Linked DNA regions of Lepisosteus oculatus. Each later gene encodes a partner of the first gene's protein in a complex. Links are inferred from orthologs where the notes say so. Each region holds a gene or a part of one and is shown on either strand. Other genes may lie near its edges. The genes, in order: topbp1, phf8 and gins1.

Region 1 (10,082 bases):
AATGTTGCTCTCTAACATATACTGTACTCTGACATTGCCAAATGAGACTGAACATCACAGAGAGCCACCTTTTTCCAAAACCCAGGTGGGTGTTTTCCACTTGATATGCAAAAAAGGTTAGAGCAGCTACAAGACAGAGTAGGCCATTTCGCCAATCGTGATGTTACCATAGCAGGATCGCTTGCAGCAGGTACTTGGACCTCAGCGATATCTCATGAGCTTAACCAGATAAATGGATCTTCCCCAGGAAATTGAGTATGTTTTTTTTGGGATTCCAAATCTATTTTTTTAAAGAAGATTACAGAAGAACCAGATGGTTCACTGAGTACGGTGCACTCCTTACTGAATCTTGCTCATCCAGAACAGTAAATGAATTTTATGACTACAGCATACCTATCCTGGGACTTCTCCCAGCATGCCCTCACCCAGGAGGGCAGCAGGATGGGCTTCCCAAGGCTAGCGGCCACCAGGTACTTCTTACTGCCCACCTCCCCAGCGATAAGGTGGGTGACGGACACATTCAGATCCTTGTACACCCGGCCCCCCATCAACTGCACCCGCTCAGTTATTTCTCCCTAATGAAAAATCAAAGGCGAGTTAGAAAAGAAGAATGTTCGGAAAATGTGTCGCACCCACTTCACACCAACTGTACTTGCACTCACATACAACACAGCTTACTCCCTCTATTAGATGGGAACAGTTAGAAAAAAAAAAGAAATCAGGTCACAGAGAATGAATGAGGTGCTATTCCGTTGCTTGAACTCCAAAATGCATAAGGAAAACTATAAAGGGCATTAATCTCATTTCCATTTTCAGTGATTTTTAATGAATGTTAAAGGCGACATTAACAAGCATTCAGAGCTTTCATGGCGGGTTGCTGACCCTTAATTTCAGCGTCTGAATCTGTCGCGTGTAAAGGCACATGGCTTGTTTGGGTCACTGGAGAGACCTGGCAGCAGTGTGAATCGCGCATACCCTGGTGTCTTTGTCCAGGCTGGTACAGGTGATGGTAACGTCAGCCATGGCCATGTTGTACACGGGGAGTTCTGCTTTAGGCACACAGCGCTGATGCTTGAGGCAGAAGAGGACCACCAGGGGACTGACAATCCTGCAGCCCAGCTACACGGAGAGGAGGAGAGTTCAATGTAAACCAGGAGACATAGGGAACACCTTTACATTTCAATTCATAATTTCTACAAGAGAAATCTCTCACCTGCAGAGCTAAAACTGTAAAACATATGAAAATACCTCATCATTTTTACACAGACCAGAAAATCAATACTGTTATATGAAAAAAAATATTATAATGGCATACTGTCCATAAGTACTAATTGCATATTTACATATATTTAAATTGAATATTTACACTGAATGTTTATGTTTTTTATATGGCAAACATTGAATATTTTTAGATACAATTGGATACAAACCAATTGCTGTCAGTCCCCATAAGACATAAAGAATATGGACTCTGCAATGCTATTGCAGATAGTATTACATTACAGACAGACATCTTAAATATTGAAACTTCAAGGATGTCATGAAGCACACAGGAGCAGTTTCTGGTCGTTTGGTACATTTAAAATTGACACTATTATTCCACTAGCATTTGAAATCATGATTCCTACAAATATATATTCTGCCATGTAAACTGCATATTAATAATGTAAAAACAAAACATTCCGCCCACGACTGAATTATCTTTAACACAAAGAATTACTTAAGATCACTAGCAGAATTCAAAATAAAAATGTATTGATCATTTGTCAGTAGAATGAGTAAATTATCATTTCAGACACCACGGATTTACAGCACTGTTTTCCACTCACGTGAATGAGCCTGGTAGCACATATTTTCATTTTGCCAAAAAAGGCAAAATATCCATATGGTATCTACATACAGTACAAACCTTTTTAAAGTGCTGGAATGCACGCCCACTGAAGTTATCAAAGACATAGAGGGATTTGTCATTGTGTTTTAAAAGGAGGGCTTCCTTCTCATCTATATTTTGGAGGTATTTTTCCGATTGCAGCTCTCTGATTGCCTGGAAGACAAAAAATGATTTGTGATGAATTTAGAAACGATGAAAACCAGAATACAGTAATGTGTGGGATACAGATTCCATTAGCAACATCTCCTAAGGAAACAGTAAGACGGAATTAAAATTAGACTAATAAGCTTTTGACAATAATAAATTCCATTCCACTACAATTTCCTCCATCCCAAAAGGATCTCAGAACACTTTAGATTTAGAAGTGGTTCCAGTTGATCCACAACTAATAAGCAGTATATAAATTTAGGTCATGTGGCTGGTTATGTCATTTACGCATATTAAAAACAGCAATGCTATAAGTGATCCATTAGTGGGACATATAAATTACTTAGGAACACGTTTAGTTTATCCCATGCTGAAAAGAGAAGAAATTAAGCAACAGTTCAGCTATGGGACCTTCTTCAGGTGTGTGTATATAAATTACTTTTATACTCCAAATCCTTTGCCTGAAAAGCAAACTGCTATCCTATTACCTTGGCCATTCTGTTTTAACCCTAAGGCTACCCAACCACAGTCAAGCTGACATCATATTAGCGGGCACAAGTCATTAGAACCAAACCTTCTGGAAAAGCCTGGCTTGTCTGTTAGAACCTTGAGTCTATTGTGTATTCACAGCTGTCAGACACAAAGTCAAACAACAGTCCAGGCAGCAGTCAAAGGAACTCCTTACCTCAAAGGCTTTCACGGCACGCTCTGATCTTTCTTCGCTGGTCTTCACAAACTTCACGAGGAATACTCCTTTATCTTCCGTGGACATCCTATATTCAATGTTTCTAAACAAACAGAAATGACAGGAGTTCAAGTAGGTAGCAGCGTCGGCAGGTGTAGGCTGCAAAGGAAAAGGGAACGGGTTTATTCCACGCTGAAATGAAGAGAAGGGAAACACAACGTTTCGGCTGTGGAGCCTTCTTCAGGTGTGAGAAAGACAGGGCAGACGGCAAAGATTAAACAGCACAGGAGAACAAAAGCTGGGAGGAGGGAGAGGCAGAGAGGCCACTCAGGTGGTGCAAAGTGAAGAGGGTTGAAGTCGAAACCTGTATGAGAATAGAGAAGACTACGTGATAATAAGTCTGCCATTAAGAGAAGGGGACCTAGTTTTCAGGAGAAACGAAACGCATCCTGAAACTAGGTTCACACCTTCCCCCTTCTCTCAAAGACAACTTATTTTCATGTAATCTTCTCTATTCTCATACAGGTTTCGACTTCACACATTCCTTCACCCCTCTCCGATATGCATTTCCTGAGTGGCCTCTCTATCTCGCCCCTCTCCCAGCTTTTGTTCTCCTGTGCTATTTAATCTTTGCTGCCTGCCCTGTCTTTCTCACACCTGAAGAAGGCTCCACAGCCGAAACGTTGCGTTTCCTTTCTTTCCTTTTCAGCATGGAATAAACCCGTTACCTGTTCCTTCGCAAACAAAAACAATCACCCTGCAACTCACAACTGGCAACCCACTGAAGCTAAGCAGGTGTGAGCCTGGTCAGTACCTGGATGGGAAACCTACTGGGAAAAACCAAGGTTGCTGCTGGAAGAGGTGTTAGTGGGGCCAGCAGGGGGCGCTCACCCTGCGGTCCATGTGGGTCCTAATGCCCCAGTATGGTGACGGGGACACTATACTGTAAACAGGCGCCGTCCTTCGGATGAGACGTAAAATCGAGGTCCTGACTCTCTGTGGTTATTAAAAATCCCAGGGCTTTTCTCGAAAAGAGTAAGGGTGTAACCCCGGCATCCTGGTCAAATTTCCCATTGGCCCTTACCAATCATGGTCTCCTTATAATCCCCATCTATGAATTGGCTACATTACTCTGCTCTTCTCCCCACTGATAGCTGATGTGTGGTGAGCGTTCTGGCGCACTATGGCTGCCGTGGATGATGCACATCGGTGGTGGTGGAGGGGATCCCCATTACCTGTAAAGCGCTTTGAGTGGAGTGTCCAGAGTGGAGTTTTGAGTGGAGTGTCAAGTGTAAGCAATTATTATTATTAAAAACGATCATATCGCAAGACTGAAACTCCTGCCGCATAAGGTACATCATTGTTTTTCCTGCACTCAGTTACATTAAAAATAGGGTCAGCATAACTGCACCTTGATGTTACAGTTTGAGAACATTTTCAGAACAGTTAACACACAAGGCAATGTAGGGGTAATAATTGTAATATTATGGAACTGAATACGTCTAAAACTGATTGCTCTTGTTTCGTCTTTGTTCTAATGAATAAGAGCCCACCAGTCATCGGACTCTCATCTTCTCTTGAAGAACAGTTAATTAAATACAGGTGTAACAATAATAAAATGTAATAGAGAATAATCCACAACAAATAAGGTCCAACGGCATTTCAAAACACCAAAATAAGAAACCAACCAAAATTCACTGTGGGAAAAGGAACGGAACATAACAATACGATCACATGACGGAACTACAGCTGAGCAAAGCCACGATTTACTGACAACTTGCGGTACTTGCTCAATGCGATCAATGTTCATCAATTTCAAAGCGGACAAGCTCAAACAGTAACTATCAACCCGTCTATTTTTCAAACAGCTGTACACGTGAAGTCAGCGATGTGCGGAAATAATTCAGTAATGCTGAACTTACCACGTCCCGGTTCAACACACCGTGTCCACAAGCAAGTGCATAAAATAAACCGGGAGTTACAATACAAGATCCTGCGAGCTCGTATTTCAGCGTTTCGCGTTTTTAGTCCGGGTTGACAATCCAGTGTTCGGCTAGTATCGCCGTCTTGAGTTTCACACTCAACAACGAAGAGAAAAGAAAAAAGGGAGCGTCTTCTCAAAACAAGTCATTCGTTGAGATAGATACATCATAACAATTTCCCTAAAGAAAGAACACAGGGTATTTTCGATTTGCCACTGATTGGCGCCAAACCTCCACCTCCTTGTCCGGCGCCGGACTTCCTGCCCAGAACCGGTATCTCGCGTCGCTCTGTCTGACGTCATGCCCAGCTGGAGGAGAAGCTGCTCCCTCCAAACAGTAGCACGTGAGATTGTCTTTCCTTTCGCAGTGGGTGTGCAATAGCAGGTATTGCATTGGATTTGGCGACTCGCAATGCTGTTTTAATTGATTATACTTGTTTATAAGCAACATGGACTTAAGTTTTACGTAGTGCAAATTAGAGGATACCTATCTAGAAGAGGTTCTTTACAGGGTTTTCTGACACAAATAATTCGATTGCAATAGTAAACCTGTTTTACTGGTGTTTGAATAGTGTTTTATTACTCAGATTAGCGTGTTTAGCAAACGAACTCTTATATCTACAGAACCTTGTTCAAAACAGTGCAGTTGATTTAAAAAAGCACATCAATAGAGATGTTTTCAGCTTTAAATTTAACGTCGTACAAATGAGAGGATTACTATTGAGAAGATTTTCTTTAAGCAGGATTTTCCGACAAAAAACATATACGACTGCAATAGTAAAGCGTTTTACTGGTATTTGAATAGTGTTTTATACCTCAGATAAACATAAGTAGCTAAAGAGCTGTTTCTATCTACAGTAACTATGCAAAACTACGCAGTTTATTTGAAAAGGAGCGGAATAGAGGGACGTTTTCAGTCCAACAGGAACAGTGACAAGGATCCCAGTTCCACACGCTACTGTCAGCTGCAGTAGAGTCACTGACGTGAGGCCAGCGCTGCTAGCAAAGAGCAAAATTAACCAAATCACAACAAAGCCACACAACACTACCCCACGCACTGGTTCACACTTGAACTGGAATGCTACTGGGTGCAAAGAGATACTGTAAATGTTGACCTGTTTAAAACGACATCGTTGACAAAAAGCTGAGCAAAACGGGAACAAACGGGTTTGCTGCTAGAAAAATTATTTTAGTATTTGTGGACAAGTATTTTGAATTGTTATATATATATATGTACAGTAGAAAGAGACGTTTAACAGAAGTAATGTTTAAGGTGTATAAAAGGACATATGGACAAGAGATTGGGGAGCCTTAAGCCAAGAAATCAAGTTTTTATTTTTGTAATGCAAAAGTATTAAAATTGTAGTGATGTAAATTATTTGTTTATATGTTAATAATATGTTTATAAGTTACATATGGTACCAAACTGTCTACCAAACAAAGCCATCAGGAAGGGAACAGTAGATAATAAATGAAATCCCAGCTTGCTCTCCATGAGACACACAGACTGGGAGAGAGGCTTGGGGTCAGAGTGCAGGGTCAGCCATTTATATGGCGCCCCTGGAGCAGTTGGGGTTAAGGGCCTTGCTCAGGGGCCCAACGGAGTAGGATTCCTCTGCTGGCCTCGGATACGAACCAGCAACCTTCCAGCCACTGGCGCAGATCCTTAGCCACAGAGTCACCGCTCCGCTATATTTGACGTGCATGAATTTCTGCAACATGTAATCTTTATAAAAAGCACGTGTCCTGGATTTGATTTTGAATCAATCAGGGTTCCTGCCATGTAGAGTTGGAATACGTTCTCTGTGTTCATGAGATATTGTGCTCCAGAGAAGCATCTATAAATTGAATCTACATTGTCCCTGTGTGCTTGTGTACGTGTTCTCAGTGACTGGTGTCTCATCCAGAATGTAGGCCACACTTCCTTTCTTTCCTTCTGGGATAGAATCCTGGTTTGCTGTGACCCTTACTAGGAAAAAGCAGCTTTCACATAACAGTTATAATTTGCAAACATCAAAAACATAACAAATGTATTCATAAGAAATTATAAAAAAGTGATCCTAAGGTCATGTATTGTTTGCTAACATTTACTTTACTTAACATTACTTTACTCACCATCATCTATTAATGCAAAACGATCATATCTGACCTTTTTCTATAATGCATAAAATTGCTTTAAGTGTTATACAGTGTAATAGGATACCTGGAGCTTTATTTTTGCATATGGGTGATCCTTTAATAAGTGTCTCTGTTACAAGACAATCACTGATTAAAAGGTAACATGTTCTTGTGAAAAAACTGGCTATTCAAATGTCATTGTCTCTTGAATGATGATCACAGTGAAATTAAGTTAGTTGGCTAACTTAAAGACTCCTTGAGAAGAATTCAGGCTAGTGGCTGAAAACACTGAAGCGTAATAAATGCAGGCCAAATGTTAAGACACAGAACACGATAATGTGTATTCCCTTTGTTTATTCTTAAAATTTTATGTACAGGAGTGGCTGATTTTTTTTCTTCTTAATGTACATTCAATATAGAAAGTTTATATACGGCATATTATATAGAACATTTCACAAACGCACTAGTCTTTTACATAATATTTTAAATCCGAGTCAATATTATTGTTCCTCCTCTTTTTTGCAGAAGCTCATATAAGTTTGTAAAGGCAGTTATACTGTGAGTAGAAATATCTAGTGCTTTTTGTACTCCGGGGGGAAAAAAATATGAAAGAAGGTTTGGGAAGAGGTACAGCAGAAGCAGAGAAGTGCAGGACTTGATCAAATGAACAGTCAATATTACAACTAGATTTCAGAGACAGTGCTGCACACAGCGAGATCCACAACTGATGGTGGAGGTGGTGGACAGGTTTTTTGTTTCTAGAGCAGTACAAGTAGACTGTAATAAAACACCACAGTCGAGTTTTCTTTTTATCTTTAGCACTGTAAAACAACATTATAAAAATTAGGAAAACAATTTATAAATCAGATTCACAGTCTTGTAAACCGATAACACGTTAAGTAGGGCAAGACAAATGCTTGCCTCTGCTTGACACATCTTGTTTGGCGTTTTCTTCAAGGGGCAGGGGGGCTGTGTATCAAAACTGACAAGGTCGAGAGGACAGGAATGACTTCCTTGATCTTTTTGTTTTCTCTCCTTTCTCCCAAATAAAAAATATATTCGTAGAAAAGTAAATTATGCTTGTGTCACTGTGACCAAAAAAAAAAACAAAAAAAGGCAACAACGCTTTGAACAGAATCCTATGGACTGGGGAAGTCTCCACTTCATGTTCCACAGGTCGCTGTCAAGCTCGAAAGACTGAAGCCTTTCAGCCCAAGTCTCCAACGTCATTGTCAACAGGGGGGGGCACACTAGATAGGACTGTGGATCCTGTCCCAGCGGTAAGATAGCCAGCAACTCCGGGACCTGCAGTTGAACATAAAAAAAAAGAAATGAATAAAGTCAAGTTTTCAAATATCACAGAGGTGTTGCAAACAATTATAAAAATGTATTTAAAAAATCCCCCGACACTCTTTAAGAGGCTGGGGTGGTGGTGAAAAACTGTCTCCATCTACAGTTACTCCTAAAGCAGACATTAAAAGATTACAAAGCATTTTGCATAGTTTTTTTTCCACCCATTTGTGAAATGTTTTTAATGGTTCCACTCTGTTAAAAAGCATGCACAGCTGTGGACATATTTCCGCTCTGCTCTGTGACCTTCAACAAAAACAAAGTTTCTATTTGCTAAGCGCAGACTCAGTGTCGGCAAGATCTTCGCTGGTGAATTTTTCAAGTTCAGGTGGAGTGTTCTTTTAAATGGCAAAAGGAGGCTGGAAAGTAAAATTTTATGACCTTTTCAGCAAGTATGTCTAAGAATAAAGGAAAGCGAGCTGGATATCTACTGCATGTTCCCTCATAATGTATTAAGATGAAGATGATATTCATCGGACGTATATTGTGACACAATACGCAAAGAGAAAGGCAACAGTGAAACAGCATGTGATAAAGGAAAACACCAGAACACACTGTGTTCTACCTGCTTCAGAGCTAGAGAGAAGTAAGCAAGAAGCCCTGGGAGAAGAGGTCTAGAGCCCACTTCTGAGGTGATGAGGGCTACTACCACTCAGAAGGGAAGGTGCGGAGACGCCTGAAGAGAAAAGGAAAAAGGAAGGAATGCCAGAGGCGAAGGAAGAGGAGAAGCAGTGTCCAACTAAGAGGGAAAGGGGCAACCGGCACAAATTCCAGAATTAGTAGCACGGCTTCAGAAAATATTTGATTTCTGTCCAAAATATGAATAGTTGAACGTGATCTACTTCATCTAGGTGCATACGGTACATCTCCTGCCACAGTTTCCGTAAGTTTCTTATACGGTTGAAGCAGTTCAGGTGGGGAGCTGCGTCAACATACGCAGGCTGCAAAGGAACAAGTAACAGGTTTATTCCATGCTGAAAAGAAGAAAGAAAACACACCATTTCGGCTGTGGAGCCTTCTTCGGGTGTGGAGACCCCTGAAGAGAAAGAAGGACCAAAGAAGAAGGCTCCACAGCAAAACAGGTGTGTTTTCTTTCTTCTCTTTTCAGCATGGAATAAACCTTTTACTTGTTCCTTCTTGAAAGGTTACTTCATTTCTATTAGGTAGTACAGCACTCTCAATGTACATTGTTTTCACTGCATTTCTCTTATTGCTATATGATTATTACACAATAAAAGACATATCATATTAACTCACATAAGGTAGCTGTTCAGGACATAACTAATGTCAAATATTAGTCATACACTGGATTTCCAGTCCATTGATGTACTGTAATTGGCAACCAATCAACGTATTCTAACAAATAAGGAGGTATGTGCATGTGTTCAAGTGGTCATTCAGAAGATCTACAGTATATATACTGTATAAGCATTAGGTTCCCAGAATAATCAGTATGTCACTAAAGATAAATTGAACTTCACAGTTAACGTCCTGGAGCAAAGAAAGTTAGGTACCAACCTGTGAGGTACCCTGCAGTCTGTGACTCTGAGATGAATAAGTCATGTTTCTGATCTTTGAAGGCACTCCAGACATTAGAACGAGAGAGAATTTCATTAACCTAGAAAAAAGAAAGTGATAAACATTGCCAGGGGTTATTTGAACTGCAAAACCCTGCTAACAGATACCACATTATTCCTGTAAGGCAACTTGCCAACTCTCTGAAGTCTAAACCAGAACAATGGACTTGCAGTTCTTCTCTGTAAGAGGCTCCTTGCAGCCTGTCTCTGCCCTCCCCGAGTGACTTGAATACTGGTCGTGTGTTCTACGAAGTCTGCATGCACAAACAGCCGAGGGGGGCGTACCTGATCGCCGTACTGAAGACTGCGCGTCATCGATTTCAGTGCTTTTAC
Region 2 (9,715 bases), on another chromosome or scaffold:
TCCAGGCCACACAAACTGTTGGCAACAGTGCCATCACAACAACAGTAAATTATCCCAGTGCTGCAGGTAAACGGTTATATCCTGTGTTCATAAGACACTGGAATTTCTAACTGTAAACCTGCCTTTGATAATGATATCAACATACACTAGACTAATCCTAGCAATATGCGCCGGGCACTGCACACAGACTTTCTCCCACAACACAGCACACACTCTGACCTGCGCAGGGACACACACACTACCACACACGCACGGGTGCTGACCGATGTAGTGCTCGACGTCGCCGACGGTGAAGCTCGGCGGCGGCAGGCTCATGCCCAGCCCGTCCTTCCTCAGCACCAGCACTGGCACGCTGAACGAGCGCTCCTCCAGGAACTCCACCGTCAGCTGGGCCCCCGTGGGCTTCAGCAGCACCTCGTCCGCGCTGGGGGAGAGAGGGAGGTCAACACAGCCTGCCTCAGGGCCTGTACAGCACAGGGTCAGTAAGGCACACAGCCTCTGCACTGAGACTGAGAGGGCCAGGACAGCACAGGGTCAGTAAGGCACACAGTCTCTGCACTGAGACTGCACAGCACAGGGTCAGTAAGGCACACAGCCTCTGCACTGAGACTGACAGGGCCAGGACAGCACAGGGTCAGTAAGGCACACAGTCTCTGCACTGAGACTGACAGGGCCAGGACAGCACAGGGTCAGTAAGGCACACAGTCTCTGCACTGAGACTGCACAGCACAGGGTCAGTAAGGCACACAGTCTCTGCACTGAGACTGCACAGCACAGGGTCAGTAAGGCACACAGCCTCTGCACTGAGACTGACAGGGCCAGGACAGCACAGGGTCAGTAAGGCACACAGTCTCTGCACTGAGACTGACAGGGCCAGGACAGCACAGGGTCAGTAAGGCACACAGTCTCTGCACTGAGACTGCACAGCACAGGGTCAGTAAGGCACACAGTCTCTGCACTGAGACTGCACAGCACAGGGTCAGTAAGGCACACAGTCTCTGCACTGAGACTGCACAGCACAGGCTCAGTAAGGCACAGTCTCAGCAGTGAGACAAGCCATGATTTAGCATGAAGCTGTCTTACCTGGGAAAGGTCCGGCCCCGGAGCTCCCGGATAAACTGTGGACTGCCTGTCTTCACAGGCCGACCTGGATCTCTCACTCCACCCACAGGCTCCTGTTTGTGAGATCCCCGGCGCTTCCTCACTGAAACACACAGAGGGGTTAATACACACACTGCTGTACACACATACTGCACTGAGGCAGAGGGGTTAATACACACACTGCACTGAAACAGAGGGGTTAATACACACACTGCTGTACACACACACTGCACTGAGACAGAGGGGTTAATACACACACTGCTGTACACACACACTGCACTGAGACAGAGGGGTTAATACACACACTGCTGTACACACACACTGCACTGAGACAGAGGGGTTAATACACACACTGCTGTACACACACACTGCACTGAGACAGAGGGGTTAATACACACACTGCTGTACACACACACTGCACTGAGACAGAGGGGTTAATACACACACTGCTGTACACACACACTGCACTGAGACAGAGGGGTTAATACACACACTGCTGTACACACACACTGCACTGAGACAGAGGGGTTATTACACACACTGCACTGAGACAGAGGGGTTAATACACACACACTGCACTGAGACAGAGGGGTCAATACACACACTGCTGTACACACACACTGCACTGAGACAGGGGGGTTAATACACACACACTACACTGAGACAGAGGGGTTAATACACACACACACTGCACTGAGACAGAGAGACTGGGAGAGAGAAGCTCTAAACAGAGCACTCACTGACGGAGGGTCCGTGTGTGACCTGGCAGTTGGGACAGTGGTAGAGGTCAATCTCTGTGGCTTTCTCCTCCTCCACCCCGACACAGCTGCACACACAAGAACAGCAACACCGCCGTTACAGGGAGTCGCGCCGCCCCCGCTGGCACCCAGCCCGCGATCTGAGCGCCGGCCCGCTTCACGGTTCGACCCAGGGGCACGCTCGTGAACTCTGGAAAAGTTCTAGAAACACCCGTTCCAGAAAGGAGCACCCCACTGCAAACCAGCAGACACTGCATGAATCTCCCCATGAGGGCCACTGACCGTGCAGGAGGAGGGTTCCGCCCCAGTAACACGGCCTGCTCTCTCAGAGGGGTACTGTGGTATTGTGGGACGTGTATCGCTGTCCTTACAGGGGCACGCTTTCCTAGTATTTTCCGTAAAAGAGGAAACCGTGAAGAAGTCTATCCATGCAGTCTAAGACAACGAAATGAAGCGCAGACTAATCTCACTGCTTCTGGGCTCTGCTGGGCTGGGCTGTGCGCTCGTGCTGCGACTCTCTTGGATTGGCTCTGGACAGTTCTTTCCATCGCCTTTTGTGTGTTTTCTTTTTTTGGGGGGGGTTAGGGTAAGGGTTAGGGTTAGGGTTGGGGGGGGTGTTTGTATTTGTTGCCTGACCCCCATACCTCCATATTTAATGGCGCATGAAGCGCATCACCCCAGCACACTGTACACAGCGGAGGCATGGCGCTGTGTTAGCGAAGCGACTGTGCCGGCGGCGAGTGCAGGCGGCGTGGCGGCGTGTTTGCGCGCGGCCTGCGGGCCGTGGATACCCGCCGCAGCGTCACGGCGGAGACCGCGGCCCACCTCGCCCCCTTACCTGCCGTGAAACCAGTCCTGGCAGACGTCGCACTCGATCATGAAGCGCGTGACGTCGTACGGCAGCCGGCACAGGCAGTACACTGGCACCGACGCCATGGCGACAGGGCCGGGCGGGGCCGGGCGGGACCGAGGGAGAGGAGTGCTGGGCGTGAGGACTGGCTGTCTGGCTCAGGCAGCGCCGTCAGACACACACTGTCTGGGCCATGACTGGACACCTGGAGGAGACACAGAGACGGGAGAGAGAGAGAGTGAGACAGGAGAGAGAGAGAGCAAGAGGGAGGGGGCAAGAGGGAGAGACAGGGGAGCGAGAGACAGACAGGAGAAAGAGAGGGAGAGAGTGACAGGGGTGAGAGAGAGACAGGAGAGCGAGAGAGTGAGACGGTGCAAGAGAGAGACAGGAGAAAGAGAGTGACAGGAGAGCAGGAGAGTGACAGGGGGCGAGAGAGAGACAGGAGAGTGACAGGGGGCGAGAGAGAGACAGGAGAGTGACAGGGGGCGAGAGAGAGACAGGAGAGTGATGGGGTGAGAGAGAGACAGGAGAGTGATGGGGTGAGAGAGAGACAGGAGAGTGATGGGGTGAGGCAGAGACAGGAGAGTGAGAGAGTGAGGCAGAGAGAGACAGCAGAGCAAGAGAAACAAATCCAGTGCTACAGGGGGAGGAAACTCAGCAGAGCTGCAGCCCAGTGGGTGATCTCCTGTCAGCCTGAGGGAGGGGGAGAGAGCCTCTCAAATAATAATGTTGTACATTTCTTGCTGATTGTTTTTGCTTTGGCGAGACTAATTCATCTGTCTCGCCAATAAAGCTATTTGAATTAAAGTAAATTAACTTCCACATTAAGCTAATTAACGAATAAATTAAGTCCCATTTACTTAAATCGGGCTGGCTGGCATTCTCGAACCGGGTTCCCTCCGTGAAAACGAAACCCCAAATTCATCATTTTATAGTGACTGTAGTAAATTACAATAACGGTAACAGTAAATAAACTCGAAAACAAAAAAAAAAGGAGGGAAAGAAAAAGCTGTATTACAGTAACAACTTCGAAAATAACGGAGTTTTATTATTTTAAAATTACTTTAATCACAGCAGGCTCATCAACAAGTCCGCAACAGCACTGTCGGGTAAGTTAGTGACTGTCCCCATGCGACCCCGGCTCGCAGCGCTACATTAACAGAGTCCTCGCCGATAATTAACAATTAACAGCCGCTCTGTCCACCGGCTCTGGTTGTGTTTTTTTTTCCCTAATAATTAAACGCTGACGAGCCGCCCGCAACGAGTCCCCAGCTTGCGTCGGAGCGCGTCTCTCCGGGCTCAGGAAGCGGTTCGCGGAAAACAACACCTAAATAACTCGGTCTTCACCCCTAGAGGGAACCTGGATAACATACACATGTGTGCGAAAAGATATCAGCCCCTTCGAAAAGAAGAAAAAAACTATTTTATTTCATGTTTTCATCTCTTACCCCCTCTACATCGGAGATCCCAGATCTATTGTTGGGAGCTGGTAGTGGGCACAATGGAAAACACTTTTTTTTAATTACTCGTGTAATTAAATTTGTTTTATGCGTCTATGTACAACTTAACAGCTTCCTCTCGGAGTTTTTCATCTGCATGGTTGGCTCAAACAGCACTGGCACGGCCAGTGAGCTACTTACATACATCAAAACCAGCCGGCTCCCGAGTAGTCCCCCGCGGCGCGGCGCCCAGCACTCGAAGTCGGACCGACTTCCAACTAGGTGCCGAGGACTCACCGCGGCCCAGCCTGCGAAGGGCAATTTATTCCACAAAGACGCCGAGGAGGTCTTTTCTGACCACTGGTGCCGTTTAAGGGGGTCGAGAAGCTGCCGAGTCGGCGGGTCCCGGGGCCGGAGGCCAAGAAAGTCCGCTTATCAGGCACGAACAATCGGAACAATTTTGAACAACTGCGAGAATCGCGCTAAAGCGACGCCATTGCTCCTCCGAGCGGGCCTGCTGTAACCCCGTCTGTCCGCTGGGGGGCGGAACGAAGAAGTTCGAGCGAGAGGAATTGGGGTCGTGGCCGCTTACCCTGGAACAGAAGGTGTCTATGTTCTGGCTGAGCCGTGCCGCAGAGCAGACCGGGCAGGGGGCAGTTCTAGTGTCTCTGTCAGGAGCAGAGTGGCTGGACAGGCTTACTGTAAGAGTCACTGCAGGCCGGACATCTTTGTAGACACCCTCACGGGCATGCTGATGAAGAACAGACACTTTGCTGCAAGCCAAGGATATCGGTGGGGGTGGAAATGTGGACAGAGATCCGAGTGGCTCTCTGCTCGTTTGTGTAAGGTACCGTGCTTGAATGCTGTAGCCCCGTCGAGTGTTGTTAATATGGGCAGCCAGACATTATAGAGAGAGATTGACTGGCATGGTCAATGGGTTCGAGTGTTTCAGCAAAGCGACCAATCAGCAGCAATTTGCAGTCAAGCACCAAAATATTTAGGACAATAAATATTATTTTAATTTATAAAAATGATTAAAATATTATAAATAACTTATTTTTTTCCTAAGGAGAAGGTTGAGTCCCTGTGCCTCAGGCTGTGACAGGAGATCACCCGCTGGGCTGCAGCTCTTTTGAGTTTCCTCTCGCAGTAGGATCAGTAACTGTTTTGATTCAGGCAGGTCTGGAAATTCTGGGATTCAGTTGCTAATTTTAGGGAAGAATGTTCGTCTAATCTCAGAATGGTTCAAACAGTGCAGCAGAAAGTGTGTCTCTGTCTCTTCTTCTTCCTTGCTGGCAGTGGGGGGGCACAGCCTGTCCTCTCTGGACAGCCAGGGCTGCCTGTGTCCAGCCTCTATGGCCAGGTGTGGTCACTGAGTCTGTCCTCTCTGGACAGGCAGGGCTGCCTGTGTCCAGTCTCTACGGCCAGGCTGTGGTCACTGAGCCTGTCCTCTCTGGGCAGCCAGGGCTGCCTGTGTCCAGTCTCTATGGCCAGGCTGTGGTCACTGAGCCTGAGCTGCATCAGGGTCTGTTTCCTCTTGCTTTCTGACACTGGTCAGATACTTGTTCAGAGTTTGTCTCCTTATTGGTCACAGTTAGAAAACACCCGCCAGCATTCAACGGACACAAGCAGTCCTGAGCAACGGGTCAGCCTGGCCTTGTGTCCCCTGTGGAGTCAGGCTGGCCTCTGTCACTGAGGAGATGGACAATGTCTTCAGAAAGCCTTCCCAGTATCCTTAGAGGTGTGCTCATTTTATAGTGGCAGTCCATAGTACATCAATATAAAAGTATCTGCCTATAGCATTAAGGACCAAAATAATAAAACTATATGTAGATGGATATGCAGTAGATGTGGACACATGAGACAGACCACCAAGAGCTTTTGAAAAGTGCTGGTGCACAAACAGCGCCTCTAGCTGGGCTGCCCTGCTTCCCAGCATCGTGTGGCCTCTGGTTTCCCCATCTGCAGAGCTCTCGGTTCATCAATCACGGAATCATGAATGAAAGACATGAAGTTTTAATAGTTCAGGTGGGCAGCTGTGGCAGCACGCACAGGCTGCAAAGGAACAAGTCAAAGTTTTTTCCAGGCTGAAAAGAGAAGAGAGGAAACACAACATTTTGGCCGTGGAGCCTTCTTCAGGTGTGAGAAAGACAGGACAGTAAGCAAAGGGAATGTGGCAGGAGAACAAAGGCTGGAGAGAGGAGGAGCGAGAGGCGGGAGCAGGGGACAGACAGGCCAATCAGGATAGGTTTAGAGAGGTGTGAAATGAAACCTTCAATGAGCAGAGAATCTAGAAGAAAAGTAGTCTGTCGTTAAGAGAAGGGGGAAGGTGTGATCCTAGCTGCAGGATAATTTTGGTTTCTGTAGTCTCCGGGACTCGGAGACCGCTTCAGAGAACGTCAGGGCTGTGCAGATTAAAGATCTCTCCAAGCCCACTGTTTCTCATTTCACCTCTCTGATTAGACGGCCACGACCACTCTAATCTCTCCGTCTGTGTTCTCAAGGACGGTTTTCAGAACGCATACATCAGAAAGACTACCGAAACCTAACTTATCCTGCAACTAGGATCACACCTTCCCCCTTCTCTTAACGACAGACTACTCTTCTTTTAAATAATTTTCTCCATTCATTGGAAGTTTCATTTCACACCTCTCTACACCTCTCCTGACTTCACACCTCTTGATTTCTGTCCCCTGCTCCCGCCCCTCCTCTCTCCCAGCCTTTAGTCTCCCGCTACATTAACTTTGCTTACTGCCTTGTCTCTCTCACACCCGAAGAAGGCTCCACGGCTGAAACGTTGTTTTCTTTCTTCTTTTTTCAGCCTGGAATAAACCTATTACTTGTTCCATTAATGAAAGACATTAACCACGTACAGTATACTGCACTTGTGGCGGCTGACGTTCCTCTAGGGACTTTTCACAGTCTATAGGGGGAAAGTTGAAGTCTCCCAGAAACACTATCATGGCTTCGGAATGTTTTGCGACCAGCCAGATCCATACAGATTCAGAGACGCGACTCCTCCAGCTTTATTTCCGGAGCCCGAGTACCCTTTTGGATGTGTAGCTGTGCACCTCCTCCTCTTCTGTATTTTCTGTGTCTCGGGAGCACCGTTTTCACCAGCATTCATCTCCATCATTTACAGCAGTGGTTCCCCAGTCCCGGTCCCCATGCCCCCCCACACCTGCGCCCCCTAGTGGGGGAATCGGGAGGACCCTCCTCTTCCAGGCACTTGTGGACAGCAGGGTTCTGGTACCGAACCGCCCGCGGGGCTCTGGGGAGCATGTCTCTGTAGGTGCCATTACCCACCAGGGGGCGCAGTCTTGGCAAGGGCACTGGAGACTTCCCACCCCAGGAGTGAGCCTTGAGCAGCGTGTCCTGTGCCGCTGCTGTCCGGTGGGGACGTTCTTGTCTGCGTGTGAACGGCGCTGTTCTGCGTCGCGCAGATAATACCCCTGTTTAAGCAGCGAGAGCCCTCTCACTCTATAAACATCCCCGAGTACAGCAGCACAAGAAAGGCGAATTAGATGGGCCAGTGGGGTCAGTGTGCAGAGCAGGCACGGCCTGTCTGATCTTTCCCATGATCCCAAGCAGCACGATGTCCTCGATCTGAGCAGCTGGCTTCCAGTGGGGTAAAACCGAGCGCAAGAGCTCAGACTGACCCCACAGCCCTACCCCCTGGACCAATGATGGAGGTCCAGTGGGAATCTGCCATCTCAGGGACCAGGGTCCCCCCCCCATAAACCATCAAAGAGCTGCAGTTCACAGAGAGGCCAGAGAAAGACGATAATGGGTAGAGAGCAAGAGACAGACAGCGCGTTCAGCCTCTGGATACAGAGAGAGAGAGACAGACAGCGCGTTCAGCCTCTGGATACAGAGAGAGAGAGACAGCGCGTTCAGTCTCTGGCTACAGAGAGAGAGAGACAGACAGCGCGTTCAGCCTCTGGCTACAGAGAGAGACAGACAGCGCGTTCAGCCTCTGGCTACAGAGAGAGAGAGACAGACAGCTCGTTCAGTCTCTGGCTACAGAGAGAGAGAGACAGACAGCTCATTCAGTCTTTGGCTACAGACGGGCACAGAGAGAGAGACAGGGAGAGAAAGACAGACACAGAGCAGCCCAGCCTGCTCCTGCAGAACCACAGTCCAGCAGGTCAGCCGCCGATTCCATCACACTGAGTCACATAAGTCAGGAACAGCCAGCCATTGTACTAGAGCTCAAGAGCACCAGGATTCCAATTCCAGGAACCCCTCACCTCGCCACTCCATCACACACATGACCTCCTAGCAGGGTCAAGACAAAACCTCTTCTCAGAGATGCGTCAAGGGTGATCTGTAAGACCCGCTGGACTGCGGATCTCCTGGCCATACTGGATGGACACTAACAGCGAAAGAAGAGCACAGGTGGGAACTCCAGTCCTGGAGCACCACAATCCAGTCCCGGTTTTCCAGGTCTCTTTAGATCACCATCACCTGGAAGCCCTTGAAAAGTGTTAAATGGGTCCAGTGAAGTCGGAGCAAGAGAGAGCAAAAACCTGGAGACAGAGCAGCCCCCCAGGACTGGAGCTGTGTCCCCCTAATGCAGACAGGGACAGAAAGAGAGAAACATGGGTTTTACTAAAAGAATAGATTTTATTTTAAGCACTGTAAGTTACTTTCCAACAGTAGAAACAAAACGGCAAAACTCTGGCTTTGTTTTAAAATCTTGGGTTTTTTTTTCCATTTTTTGTTCCAATAAAACAGACAAATAAAACCATTCTTTAGACAATCCGATTCCCTCCTTTTTTTTTTAAGAACAATAAAATAAGAAATAAAACTAATTCCAGAATACAATCGATCACATCTCTTTATTCACCAAGAGACACACAAGAAAAACAAGAATTGTTTTTCCCAAAAAACCTTTCCAAACTTACATCGATAAAAGGTCTAGATGGAGTCTGTGCTGATGCTGTGATTGTGTGTTTAGGTAGAAGGATTTTTGCCAGGGGAAACGAGCCTGGAATAGTTTTTATACCACTAGAGGGAGGGGAAAGTTACTGACGGCATTAAACAAGGGCAACCATTATAATAACACGACCAAGAACTTCAGAGAAACTTGTCAATGGATATATACTTAATTTTTTTGACTTTACTATATATATATACTTCTGTGGATTACAAGCAGGGCTCAATTCTAAGCTACAGTTCAAAAACTTATTGTTTCAGATAAAACTGTGAAAAATTAGTAGTAGTAGCAGAAGTAGCAACAATTTAAAAAATTAAAACGCGGCTTGTGTCAAGATAGTAATTGAAACTAAAGTTTCCGATTTTATTCATTACTGTCTTTTCATTAACCTCACTAGGAAATACCTGACAGCTAAACGGATTAATAAAAGAGTTAGCTTAAAAATATCATCATCAATATGGTTTGAGGAGAGGCGCTGGTTGGGAAGAGTCGGGGATCTAGGAAGGACGAACTGGGGAAAGAGGAAAACGGGGTGTCGGTAAGATTATTCGAAAATATTACAAACTTGTTTTTAATTTTTATTTTATTTTATTTTTTGCGACGTCTTTTTGTTAAACTGGATTCCTAC
Region 3 (10,496 bases), on another chromosome or scaffold:
CCTATTAAAAGCCACTGCGGTCGGTCCCTGTTGGTCCCTGTCGGTCACGACAGCACGTGCTCCAGCACCCCCTGTCGGATCAGGTGCTCACACTTCCATCGTGGAAGAAAGTGCTGAAAAAGACCAGACTGTTACCAGCTACGGCTTTCTAATGAGGTTTCCCCAAAGCTGTACTGCAGAAGAGAAACTGGTTGCAGAATACTTCCTAAGCTTCTTTTCATGCAATGACATTAATACATTTGTTAGAAGATGATAAATCGCATATCCTTTTATTACAAACTAACAGTTCATTTTTCTTAATAATATCATGTGTTTTATATGCTAAATACACAACCCTGTAACCAAGGGATTTATTGGATGAAAGGATAAAGCATTTAAAATACTTTTTGGAACTGTTCCAAGATAGTTGCCTTTTATTCTTGTTAGAAGTGATCAAACACTTAAACCTTGCTGCCACGCAGCGCTGGGGCCCTGGGCTCAGTTCCAGACCAGGGGTGCTGTCTCTGTGGAGCTGGGGTGCTCCAATTTCCTCCCACAGCCCAGAGATGTGCTGGTGGGTTAATTGGCCTCGGTGTGAGAGTGCATGTCTGTGTGTGCCCTGTGATGGACTGGCACTCTGTCCAGGCTGGAGCCTGCCCTGTGCCCATCACTTGCTAGGATAGGCTGTGGCAACCTTGAATTGGACAAATTCCTTTACAAAATGGACTCAGTACATACTGTTTCCAAACTTTATATAATACTGCAGAATATTGAGAATTGTAATAAATACACCTATGTTCAGGAATTCAATCTAACACGCCCTCTCGTCTCCCCAGTGGACTCATACCTGGCTGTTTTTCTTCAAGAGGATGATGGTTCCATCATCGATTTCAAATTCCCCATGGTCTTTAACACATCGGACCTTTGGAGAAAAGTCACAAGCCTTATTGGAAAACATCTCGTATGTTTTGCAGGGGTTCTTACCTGCGAACACATTTACTGTTGATGAGCAGGAGAATTCTGAAGTAGTTATCTGTTCCAATCGTGTTCCTGCGTCACGCCCTCCACGTTTGTACTTGATATCTCGGGGACTCCACTCAAAGCTATGACCCTTCGTCACCTTAAGAGGAACAAGGGCTGCGTCCACTGTCCACTGTCCTCTGACCCACCCATGGTGCCCCAGAGCAGTGACTCTCACCTACTACTCTGTCTCATGCAGTTTTGGTCCCTACTCTTGACCAGTTAGGCTAAGGGATCTGTAGTTCTCCGAGTACTTTTTTCAGCTCTAACGAAGCTGAACAGGGGCAGTAATTACCATCAACGCTGAACCAGTCTTTGAGTTTCACTGTCCAATAGCTGGACTGTAGGAAGTCAGACAGCTGTGGAGCAGTCCCTTTGTTTCTAGTGGGAGTGTTGGCTTCATTTCCTTCAGTGTATTACAGGTTGTGTGGACAGAAGCAGCAACCACTTCAAATGATCAAGCAGAGAAAAGAATTCTGTTCACCATATTTCCTTTGGATACAAAAAACACACTTTTACTTTGGTATTTCTGAAGCCAGAAACACAGGGATCAGTCTACCTGCAGCCATACATGTACAGTATATTGAATGTCAATATTGCGCCACTGAGGCCAGGGCTTTGCATTACTGTGGGAAGCACCTCCCCCTGGTGGTTTAATAGGAGTTTACAATGGTTGCATGTTGATACATTTCTCACCTCATATACTGTAGGTCCAGTTCCTGCAAAGTGACTACAGCTCTCAAAGCTTTAATAGAGTTTTCATTCATTTGAGGGTAAGGAGGCAGAAAAGTTACAATAATTGTATGTATAAAAATGCCCACCAGGCTTCAATTTCAATAGGGCCTTTTCTCCCAGTACAGCTGTCTGATTCTTACCTCAATATACAGACTCTTGGGGGGCTTCATGTCCTGTGTGATATCCAGGCCCTCCTCTCCTCCCAGAGACCTCATGTAGGTAGCCAGGGACTTCTTGTACTGGTTAAACCACTCCAGCTAAGTGGGGAGAAAGGTTTAGGAGAAGCTGTCAGCAGCATTTTCCCAGCTGACAGCAAGCTGCCCCATCAGGGCTCACAAGCAAACTGCACTAAGGGCACTTCACATCCAATAGAGGTCCTAGGAGACAGCGTCTGACCCTGGCCAGGCAAAACTCCACAGAGTCCATTCATCCACTTTCTAACGGCTTTGTCCAGTTCAGGGTCACAATAAATAACGGGTACGATTTAGGATACACCCCGGAAGGGACACCAGTCCATCGCAGGGCACACACAGACACGCACACACTCACACCCGCTTCTCCTTCTACACAATCGGGCAGGCACAGGTCTTAAAACCCGAAACAGGTTTGCGATCACAGCCGGGACGGGGAGGACGTCGCTGCCCCCGCACTCACCTCCTCAGCGCTCATGTGGAACCTTACGGATGTGGGCAGGACGCTGCCGTACTCCCACCTCAGAGCTCGCACGCGGAGCAGGCGATCGTAGCTGAGTGGAGAGGTGGAACAAAGCCAGGTCCGTCACTGACAGCACGCGTGAGCAAGACTAAGAGCCAGCAGTGCTGGTGTGAGGAAGGGCGGACGCGCAGCCCGGCTGCTTACAGATAGGCAGCGATGCACCTCTGGTTCCGGAGCAGGCAGCAGTGGCGGAACTTGATGGTGGGGATCAGTTCACTCGCTCCCTCCGACTTCGCCTCGTTCCTGGAACAGAGCATTTTAGACACAAAAACGACTGTCTAGAAGACTATGAAGTCTATCAACCAGACCCTTCCCCACCCATCTCGCATTACGGTACTCCAGTCCTGCAGGATCTGAGGATTTCTGGTGGTCTTTTTGTCCGAGCCCTTAAATGAACCGAATAAACTGCTGCCCGCCTTTCCTTGTTTTCCATATATATGCTGTGGATTTTCTAAGGACCAATAAACCAAACTGGACAGCAGCCCTTGAATACCGAGGCTAGGCTTGTCTTTATTTTACTTATGCATACAAAACATCATTTCTGCAACAGAACAGAAATACTGGGCTCCCTGCCACCTCTTTTACACAAAGAAATAAAAACCACGAAGCAAAGCCTGTAACGCAGCTGTAACTCACACGTCACTCTGGTTCTGCTCATAGAGAGCCTTCATCTCTTCCAGGACCTGTCTAATCCCATCTTCCTGCAACGACAGAAAATGTGCAGAAAATCAGCCTGTTATGCTATACATGAATATGCTGCTACGTGAAGTTAATACAGTTAACACTGTTAACGTACATTCGTGACAAAAATGTTCAACGAGTGGACTGAAATTGTTGTATCGAGGTCCGTCAGGTGTAACAATAATTTTGCAGAAGATATTGCTCATTTCAAGACTCTCCTTCCGTGTCAACAAAGAAGATTGTTTGACATGCAGCTCACATAAAAATCAGAAAAAAAACAATTGTTAGAGCCTTTCGATGTCCCCAGGAATAGTGAAAATGACTATAATAGACTCAAATACACGAGATTATAATAACGTTTGTCTGAAATTCTTGCAGAGAGACAAAGAACACAAGATGGTCTGCCGCCGACGTGAGGTAAACTGGCTCATTTAGTTTTTAATCGCTGCTTGAACCAAGTAACTCATCCAGTCGATTACTAAAGGACGCGAGGGAGTCACCTTCAGCAACACGGCTGAATATCTTGTTCCAGACTCGACATATCAGACATGAAACAACGGCAGACGAGGCGTGAGAACATGGGACCTAAACTTACATTAAACGCCGGTAACTGGCCATCGCCGATGCGATCCAGCTCTCTGACGAGCTCGATCGCCTTTTCACCAAACATGTGGCGGAAGAAAACGCGTTCGGTTTTATGAATCGGTTCAGAGAAACGGCGACCTTTCGATGCCGACTCCCGCTTTCTTCACCAAGGGATGTGACTTTTCGAGTGTGATCCACAAGCCTACAGCACTGCACTTTTCCGCCGTGCGATTTTCGCGGGCACGGTTGTTATTGCCACGCAGGCCGCAGAACTACGGGTCCCAGCCGGGGACAAACCGTCTTGCTTGGTGGGGGAAATTGCTGGACAATATGTATACCAGCTGTGGCCTTTGAGGAAGGTCTCTGAAATGACGTTGTTTCTCTTGATTTTGCTTGTTGCTTGTCTTTATAGTACAGATTAATCGGAGCAATCTGAAGACGCTGGTGCAGTCATCTCTTCCGGGCAGCGGAGGGTTAATCGTAAAAAGGGTTGTTGCTGCCGGATTGAATGGCTCGCTTCCGCGAGTTCCTGGAGTTGGGAGAAAGACATTACAATCAAATGTTTGAAAAAAAAAACAGTTTTATGAATAGGACCCCACTCCTGATTGTTCTGATGCTCGTATGCAACCCAAACCCAAACGCGTGCGGTGAGGCTACGTGCCGTTACTGGAAATAATAGCAGTTTTTTTTCTCCTTGCGGGAGATTTGTTGAAACAGCTAAAGGATATTCTGAAACAGAAAGCATCGAAAGTTTCTACTCCTTTCTAGCTAAACTAATCACGGGGATTCCGTGCCGTGTGTCTTTGGTGAAGACTACCGTGTGAAAGAGAGGGATTGTGGCTTCATGTATTCATTTCATATGCCTTGAGCATGTCCCTCACGGACACATGGCTTTCTGTGAGCGGAAGGGGCGTGTGAGTGTGTCTTTTGTGTTGCTGGAAATAAAGGATTAAGTCGACCAGGAACCTGCAGAACTAGTGTATCTGGTTTACCCGTCATCACATCCCCCGCCGACCCAAATCACAGTCGCCATCACTGCTGGGTGAACTGACCGCTTCCCCGGTGCTGCTTCTCTGAAGACACCAAAAAACAACCACCTGGAGACACGGGAGAGGAGCTCAACCGGCCAGGAGCAGACTTTCAAACGTAAAGAAATCTGAATTTCCACAATGTAATAACGAAGTCGAAACCGTTAAACGATATTTTACTAGGTTCCTTCAAACGACTATGTAGGGGGGCGGGGGTAGGTTTTAAATAAAGACGGGTTCCGTTGCGTTTCCTCACACCAGCGGTTCAATTGCGCCTGAGATGCAATCCGTGGAAACAGCCCCAAGATAAGTCATGTTTAGCGCTACGATGTTGTCGGCAGGGCTGTGCCCCGGCTCGGCTGTCAGGCAGGTTTGTTGTGCCCCGCACAAAGATGGCGGACAGGGCTGCGCCGATTGGCTGGCGGGGAGGCCAGGTGAAAGGTTGTGCAGATCAGCTGGTCGCTGCGGTCCTCCTGCTCGGCTGCTGACAGTACAGTCCGACAAACTGCTAAAACATCAGCTGGGCTGGTGGGGGGGAGAAGGCAGCAGCGTCGTGTCCGGCTTCTCTTCCAGCCTCGGGGTTGACCTCTGTAGGACCCGGGACCAGGGCTTAGACGTCGCAGCAAATTCAACTCGTTTTCCTTCCTCCAGAGATCCCGAGCAAATCCGCGCCGTGGAGAACTGCTGCTTCTTTTTTTGTGAAGATTAATCTGGTCCTGCGAATTTCAGGGATGCGAAAGAGGAACAACTCGCCCGCCGTGGATCATGACAGCTCTGTCACCACCAGCACGGTGCTGGACAGCGGCGCGCATCTGAGGTGCTGCCGGAGACCGGCGGAGCCCGACCCGGACAAAGCAATGGTGCGGAGACTGAGGTGAGGCGGTCCGGACTCGGGGCTGTTCGAGGGGTTAGCTGAGCCCAGGAGTTTGTTTGTTTGTTTGTTTGTTTTTAAACAAAACACACCGGTCAAATTGTTAGTGCTGTTAATAACGAATGAACAGCGCAATGCAGTCGTCCCCTCTTGGGGTGTAAAACACGTCTCGGAAGAGGGGTAACACGTACTGCAATTCAGGAGTACGTTGTCCAATGTGAAAAGTGCGACAAGCGGGAGCTGTCACTCAAAAGTCCCTTTCCAACCAGGCACCGCCGTCGTGGAAGTGTGAAATTTTGCCCACAACCAAATGAGGCGCATCACCGCGAAGCCTTTTACTGTTATACTGCAGCAGGTAAAAAAAAAAGTGTACACTGAAACGTCTGTGTACTGTATTACAGTTAACAGCAGTAACACGGCTGTTTATATCTGTGATAGTCTTTTTCCGGATACAGCGGTTCTCGGTACATTTAGATAACCGATAGAATCCCCTAGGACCAGGTGACAAACGTTTTGCATCTCGGTTCAGCGAAAGAGCATCATCTGTATGATATTATGTAAATACAGAGGTTCATGTCTTTTTGAGTACAATTGTTAAGCGGAGAGGTCTTTATTCTACGTTTTAAACTTATCATTATTAGTAGTGGTAGTATTAAGTCTTAGAACAAATAACACACCTGACCATCAATACAGCTGTGATACAAGATATCAGCCGAGGGCAGGTGTATCACCCTGCGTTTTTTGTAACTGAGTTTAATCTAACACTGGTTAAAGAACAGGCTGGAAAAAGCAAAGGCTTCTTTGCTTGATGTGTTACCTAATCTAAAGGAGACCACAGAGGAAGGTCATTGTGCTCTGAGCTTACAATAAAATACATCCATATTCTGCTGACTCATCATCTCTTTTCTGCAAAGTCTGTCCTTTCCCTTTAAAAGAGACTTCCATTATTTGGACGTAATGGGGACAGAGAAATGATTTCATATTCTTTTGCTGAGCTGGAGCTGCATTCCAGGAGAGAAACGTGTTGTCGTAGGTTAATCATGACAAAATTCTCAGAGCACCTGAATTCTTCATGGCTCTGCTGCACCTTGAAAGATAACTGAAAAACAGTCAGCGTTGTGGATGAAAACACCAGGATCTCGTGAGGGACTTGCTGGATTTGCACCTTGTCAGACAAGCTTGCAGTAATCACAGAGTGAAGTCATTTGAATGCAGATTCATTGTAATTGCTGTATTGGGAAAAACCAGCAAAGCAGGAATAGTAAACGGAACCGGCGTATTTCTAACACAAGGTGGAGAAATGCTCCTTCGGTCTCTAGTGTGAATCCTGGGAATGTTAGGAAAAAGTACTGTTGGAGAGGTGATGAACATTTATGTTCTCACCTTCAAAGGAAAAATCTGAAAGCATTTGGCCCAAATTGCAGTAAAAAAATGTGAACACCCTTTAGAAACCACACCAAGGTCATACTGGTACTGACATGTAAACTATCTTTGTGCTAACCAATTTTAATTGAACTTCAAGGTTTCCAAAACAGAACAAAATGAGGAGAAAACAGTATATGTTTTACAGTATATGTTAAATTGTGTAAATGGTTACAAGTTTTTCTCTGGAATGAGAGGCAAAAGCGTGTTGACTTTTGCATGAAAATACTCATATCACATCATCATTGCATTGGCAATACCTGTGTATCAAGGTATTTTGCAAGAAAATAGGGGAGAATGTACAAAGTTAGCCGTTATTTAGAACATATTTTGTTTAATGAGATGCAAATTCAGTCAAGACAGATAAGACAGTAAAATAACTAGAAATCTCAGATGGGTTTTGGAAGTGCAGAAAGCCTGACAATGAGGTGGTTTTATAATTTTCAGTCCTTTTTCTCCCCTCTTGTAAATCTCCCTCAGGGCTGTTGTCTGTCTCGTTTCTCTATAGTAGTACTTGAGCTCCTGAGCAAGATCCGCTTACCACACGTATGGCTGTTATCTCAGGTGTTTAAAAGGATGATGGACACAAGGTGTTGTTTTTACGGATGACATCAGAGGGCATCCTGTAGCCAGACAGTTCAAAGAACTTTGGATGGTGTCTTTGCATGTCAGCTGTTATACTGTATGTTGTGTTTTATCTGCAAAAAGCACTGGTTTTCAACATTTTTCAAGGTTAACATCTAACTTGAAATATTTGAGCAGAAATCGAATGCTTGTAATTTTCCTAGATTGAAATCTATCCAAATAAAATTTCATGGAAAGTTTAGTGTTTGACATGCAGAAATGTGGATGTGATAAGCTAACCTGCTGATTATCATACAACTTGCTTCACCGAGGAGCGAATAAAATACTGTTTTGTCTTCTTTAATTGTATATGGCTAAAATCCTAATTTATGCTGGAAGGGTCTGAGCATCCATAAAATTAATGTGAGCAATATCCAGAAAATAAATTAAATATAAATTAAATTGAGCAAAGTTTGTGGCAGAGCTCAAAATAAAAGCGTCAAGCCTAGTGTGCAGTATAATATGGGGCTTTGATACACTGCATGCTGATGTCATCCACTGATGTTTTGGCACCTTATATGTTTATTCGCCTAAGGGGGGTCTGGGGCAGTGAGGTGGTCAGTGCTGCTGCCTCGCATCAGCACCCTGCCCCTTGAGGCTGCTGTATGTGAGGCATTTGCATGTTTTCCCTTCTTCCTGTGCTCATATGGTTTGATAATTGGTTTTGTTCCTTAGTCCCCATTAGCCAGCTCCACAGTCACGCATTGGCTAATTCTTCATAATCCGCCTGTCCATCCACTTTCTAACTGCTGCTTCCAATTCAAGGTCGCTTGAGAGCAATCCCAGCAAGCAACAGGCGCTAGGCTGGGTACAGCCTGGACATGATGCCAGTCCATCACAGGGCAGACACATAGACACACACACCAAGGCTGATTTTCCCAGACGTCAATTAACCTACCAGTATGTATTGCCAGTATGCACTCTGGGAGGAAACCAGAGCACTATGAGTGAACTGCAAACATGGAGAGAACATACAAACTCCACACAGATAACCCCACAGGTCTGGAACAGAACCCAGGGCCCAGCTCTGCAGTGCCAGCCACTGCGCCACTGAGCTGCCCTCGCTTAATAATAACAACACCAGTCCACCTATGAAATGGGGAAATAGCACAAGGGATGTTTGAACGTTTTCAAAATCTGACAAAACAAGAAAAGGTGGCGTCCATTAGTGTCTGAGCTGTTGCATGTCGTTGGTTGCGCAGAGTTGTCAGAAGTGTCAGGAGGTCAAGTTCAGATAGATGGCCTACACATGGTGAATGAGACTGGCTTACCCCACTGAATACTTTCAAAAATGCATTTTAAACCGTATGAGACTGTACGTTTCAACACATAACCACCTCTTATCGGTGTTTTATTGTGAGTGTGAAAGAGGACTACTGTATTTCTTACAAGATTCACTAAACCATATACAATTAACATTAAAAGTCTTGAATTTTGTGTTATGTTTAAGACAGGAACTGATGATCATCAGTATGGTGTGTGCTCAAGCTACACTGTTTAAAACCAGAATCATGCCAGATTGTAAAGAAAGCACTGCAGTTGTCCTCTCCAATTTTTCAGAACTGAAACTGCTGAGGGAATTGTAATTTTTGTGCTGTGGGAGTGCTGGTACATGTGACCCCCCCCACCCCCGTCTGTTGGAATTTGGAAGTGAAGCAACAGCTCACAGAATGAAGTGAAATGTGACTTTAAAGCCCTCGTTTTACCTTGCTGTCTGCCAGGAGCACTGAGCTGTAACCTGGCTTCAGGTGTGTTCAGGAGCAGGTCCTCCTGTCACGTGCAGCACCAGTCAGGCAGAAACAACAGGAAAGAAGTGGCGTTCTTGTCCCTATTTGGACAGTTGTACTGTGAAATGTCAAGACTGTGTGAACGGTGACTTGGAGAAACATGATGCACAGGGACATGTCACCTACCTCTACACGGTCTCGCTTCCAGAAACAAAAAATATTGCAGGAAATGTCATGGTAAATACTACAGCATGGAAGGAAGAACTGGTCCAGCCGGATTTTCAAGAGAGTGACAATATGGGAATGTTAATTTATTTGTTGGAAAGGTGGGATAATGGGAGACGGGGGATAACACAGGTTAACAAGCTCTGAATCATCAAGGCGGTGGAATAGACGAAATGCCTGTGCTGTGTAGGCATACGGTAGGTGAATGCACGACAGGCACATTACAAAATGTAGGAACTCTAATAGTGATGAAGGAAGGAATTGAGGATCCTGAGATCAGGACAGTTTGTGAAAGGCCATGTCTTTCTAAGGCATTTTGATGTCATCACGAGGCCTGTGGGGGATCGGGGGGGTCTGGTGTCTGCTGCTAGAGTCAAAGACTTGGACGCTAGAGAAGAGGTTGGAGTGTGTTCTGAAATGTGAAATATCAGTGGTCACTTGATGACCATCCGCAGCAAGAGTCGATGAAGTATCGTTTGCCTAGCGAGGCTGTCCTTTGCATGTGTGATCCTATCCTCTGTGCGAATAGTCTCTACTGTTCAGGAATACCTGATTGCCCCTAGCTCTCTGACTGGAGCAATCTACACATTTATTGTTTAGACTTGTGGCTTTTGATGTTCGACAGCAGTCGGATTTCTTAAGCATGGTCGAGACCTGAAACACTGCTTCAACAGGATGCAGAGACGGCATTATTCAATACTAAAGTCCAAAGCTCTTGACAGGGCTGTACCTTGTGAGAGGAGGGTAGGTTCAGACAAGAGTTGCCGTCTTATCTAATCACCATTCCCCAGAAAGCTGCGAGGAATGGCCCGCACCCCTAGCTGGTCAGGTGACTATGGCCAGCAGGCTGTTCCCCAGAGCTTGCTGGGGAATGTAGTTCAGACA

Evidence for each region.
Region 2: the proteins of topbp1 (region 1) and phf8 are in contact, whole or in part, in a crystal structure (PDB 7CMZ), measured with the Homo sapiens proteins. The link is inferred for Lepisosteus oculatus from reciprocal best matches to the Homo sapiens genes TOPBP1 and PHF8. Residues at the interface, in NP_008958.2 of Homo sapiens: Gln1298, Cys1299, Arg1314, Asn1315, Glu1316, Leu1319, Arg1369, Ser1406, Arg1407, Gly1410, Phe1411, Arg1413, Leu1414, Arg1465, Thr1466, Glu1467, Ala1470, Asp1471, Gln1475, Asn1483, Tyr1484; in NP_001171825.1 of Homo sapiens: Gly842, Ala843, Cys844, Phe845, Asp847, Ala848, Tyr850, Ile851, Tyr852, Pro853, Ser854, Leu855, Glu856.
Region 3: the proteins of topbp1 (region 1) and gins1 are in contact, whole or in part, in a cryo-EM structure (PDB 8OK2), measured with the Homo sapiens proteins. The link is inferred for Lepisosteus oculatus from reciprocal best matches to the Homo sapiens genes TOPBP1 and GINS1. Residues at the interface, in NP_008958.2 of Homo sapiens: Leu490, Leu491, Ser492, Gln493, Tyr494, Glu495, Asn496, Leu586, Ser587, Arg588, Thr589, Val590, Val596, Cys601, Glu602, Val603, Ala605, Thr606, Val607, Gly608, Val610, Lys629, Pro636, Val637, Pro638, Val639, Met640, Thr641, Arg726; in NP_066545.3 of Homo sapiens: Asn43, Gln44, Val47, Asn48, Lys51, His66, Arg91, Tyr94, Gly95, Ser96, Asn100, Arg103, Phe104, Arg119, Ala122, Met125, Glu132, Gly133, Leu134, Asp135, Thr137, Gln138, Asp139.

What each region holds. Positions count from the first base shown.
Region 1 is NC_090701.1:16,015,005-16,025,086, forward strand, and holds the start of topbp1 (DNA topoisomerase 2-binding protein 1), read right to left. Parts: upstream 4,977-10,082; 5' UTR 4,646-4,976; intron 2,827-4,645; 5' UTR 2,811-2,826; coding exon 2,724-2,810; intron 2,045-2,723; coding exon 1,910-2,044; intron 1,120-1,909; coding exon 976-1,119; intron 576-975; coding exon 394-575; intron 1-393. Other genes in the region: dnaJ homolog subfamily C member 13, read right to left, coding at 8,030-8,127, 9,691-9,790, 10,035-10,082. UniProt on the Homo sapiens protein: Scaffold protein that acts as a key protein-protein adapter in DNA replication and DNA repair. Composed of multiple BRCT domains, which specifically recognize and bind phosphorylated proteins, bringing proteins together into functional combinations.
Region 2 is NC_090697.1:74,801,071-74,810,785, forward strand, and holds the start of phf8 (histone lysine demethylase PHF8), read right to left. Parts: upstream 4,900-9,715; 5' UTR 4,350-4,899; intron 2,915-4,349; 5' UTR 2,796-2,914; coding exon 2,698-2,795; intron 1,928-2,697; coding exon 1,842-1,927; intron 1,205-1,841; coding exon 1,084-1,204; intron 425-1,083; coding exon 264-424; intron 1-263. UniProt on the Homo sapiens protein: Histone lysine demethylase with selectivity for the di- and monomethyl states that plays a key role cell cycle progression, rDNA transcription and brain development.
Region 3 is NC_090712.1:17,844,644-17,855,139, forward strand, and holds the start of gins1 (DNA replication complex GINS protein PSF1), read right to left. Parts: upstream 4,607-10,496; 5' UTR 4,532-4,606; intron 4,244-4,531; 5' UTR 3,800-4,243; coding exon 3,725-3,799; intron 3,718-3,724; exon of another isoform or gene 3,245-3,717; intron 3,150-3,244; coding exon 3,085-3,149; intron 2,692-3,084; coding exon 2,593-2,691; intron 2,480-2,592; coding exon 2,389-2,479; intron 1,992-2,388; coding exon 1,875-1,991; intron 902-1,874; coding exon 827-901; intron 114-826; coding exon 45-113; 3' UTR 1-44. Other genes in the region: lysophosphatidylserine lipase ABHD12, read left to right, coding at 5,474-5,616. UniProt on the Homo sapiens protein: Required for correct functioning of the GINS complex, a complex that plays an essential role in the initiation of DNA replication, and progression of DNA replication forks.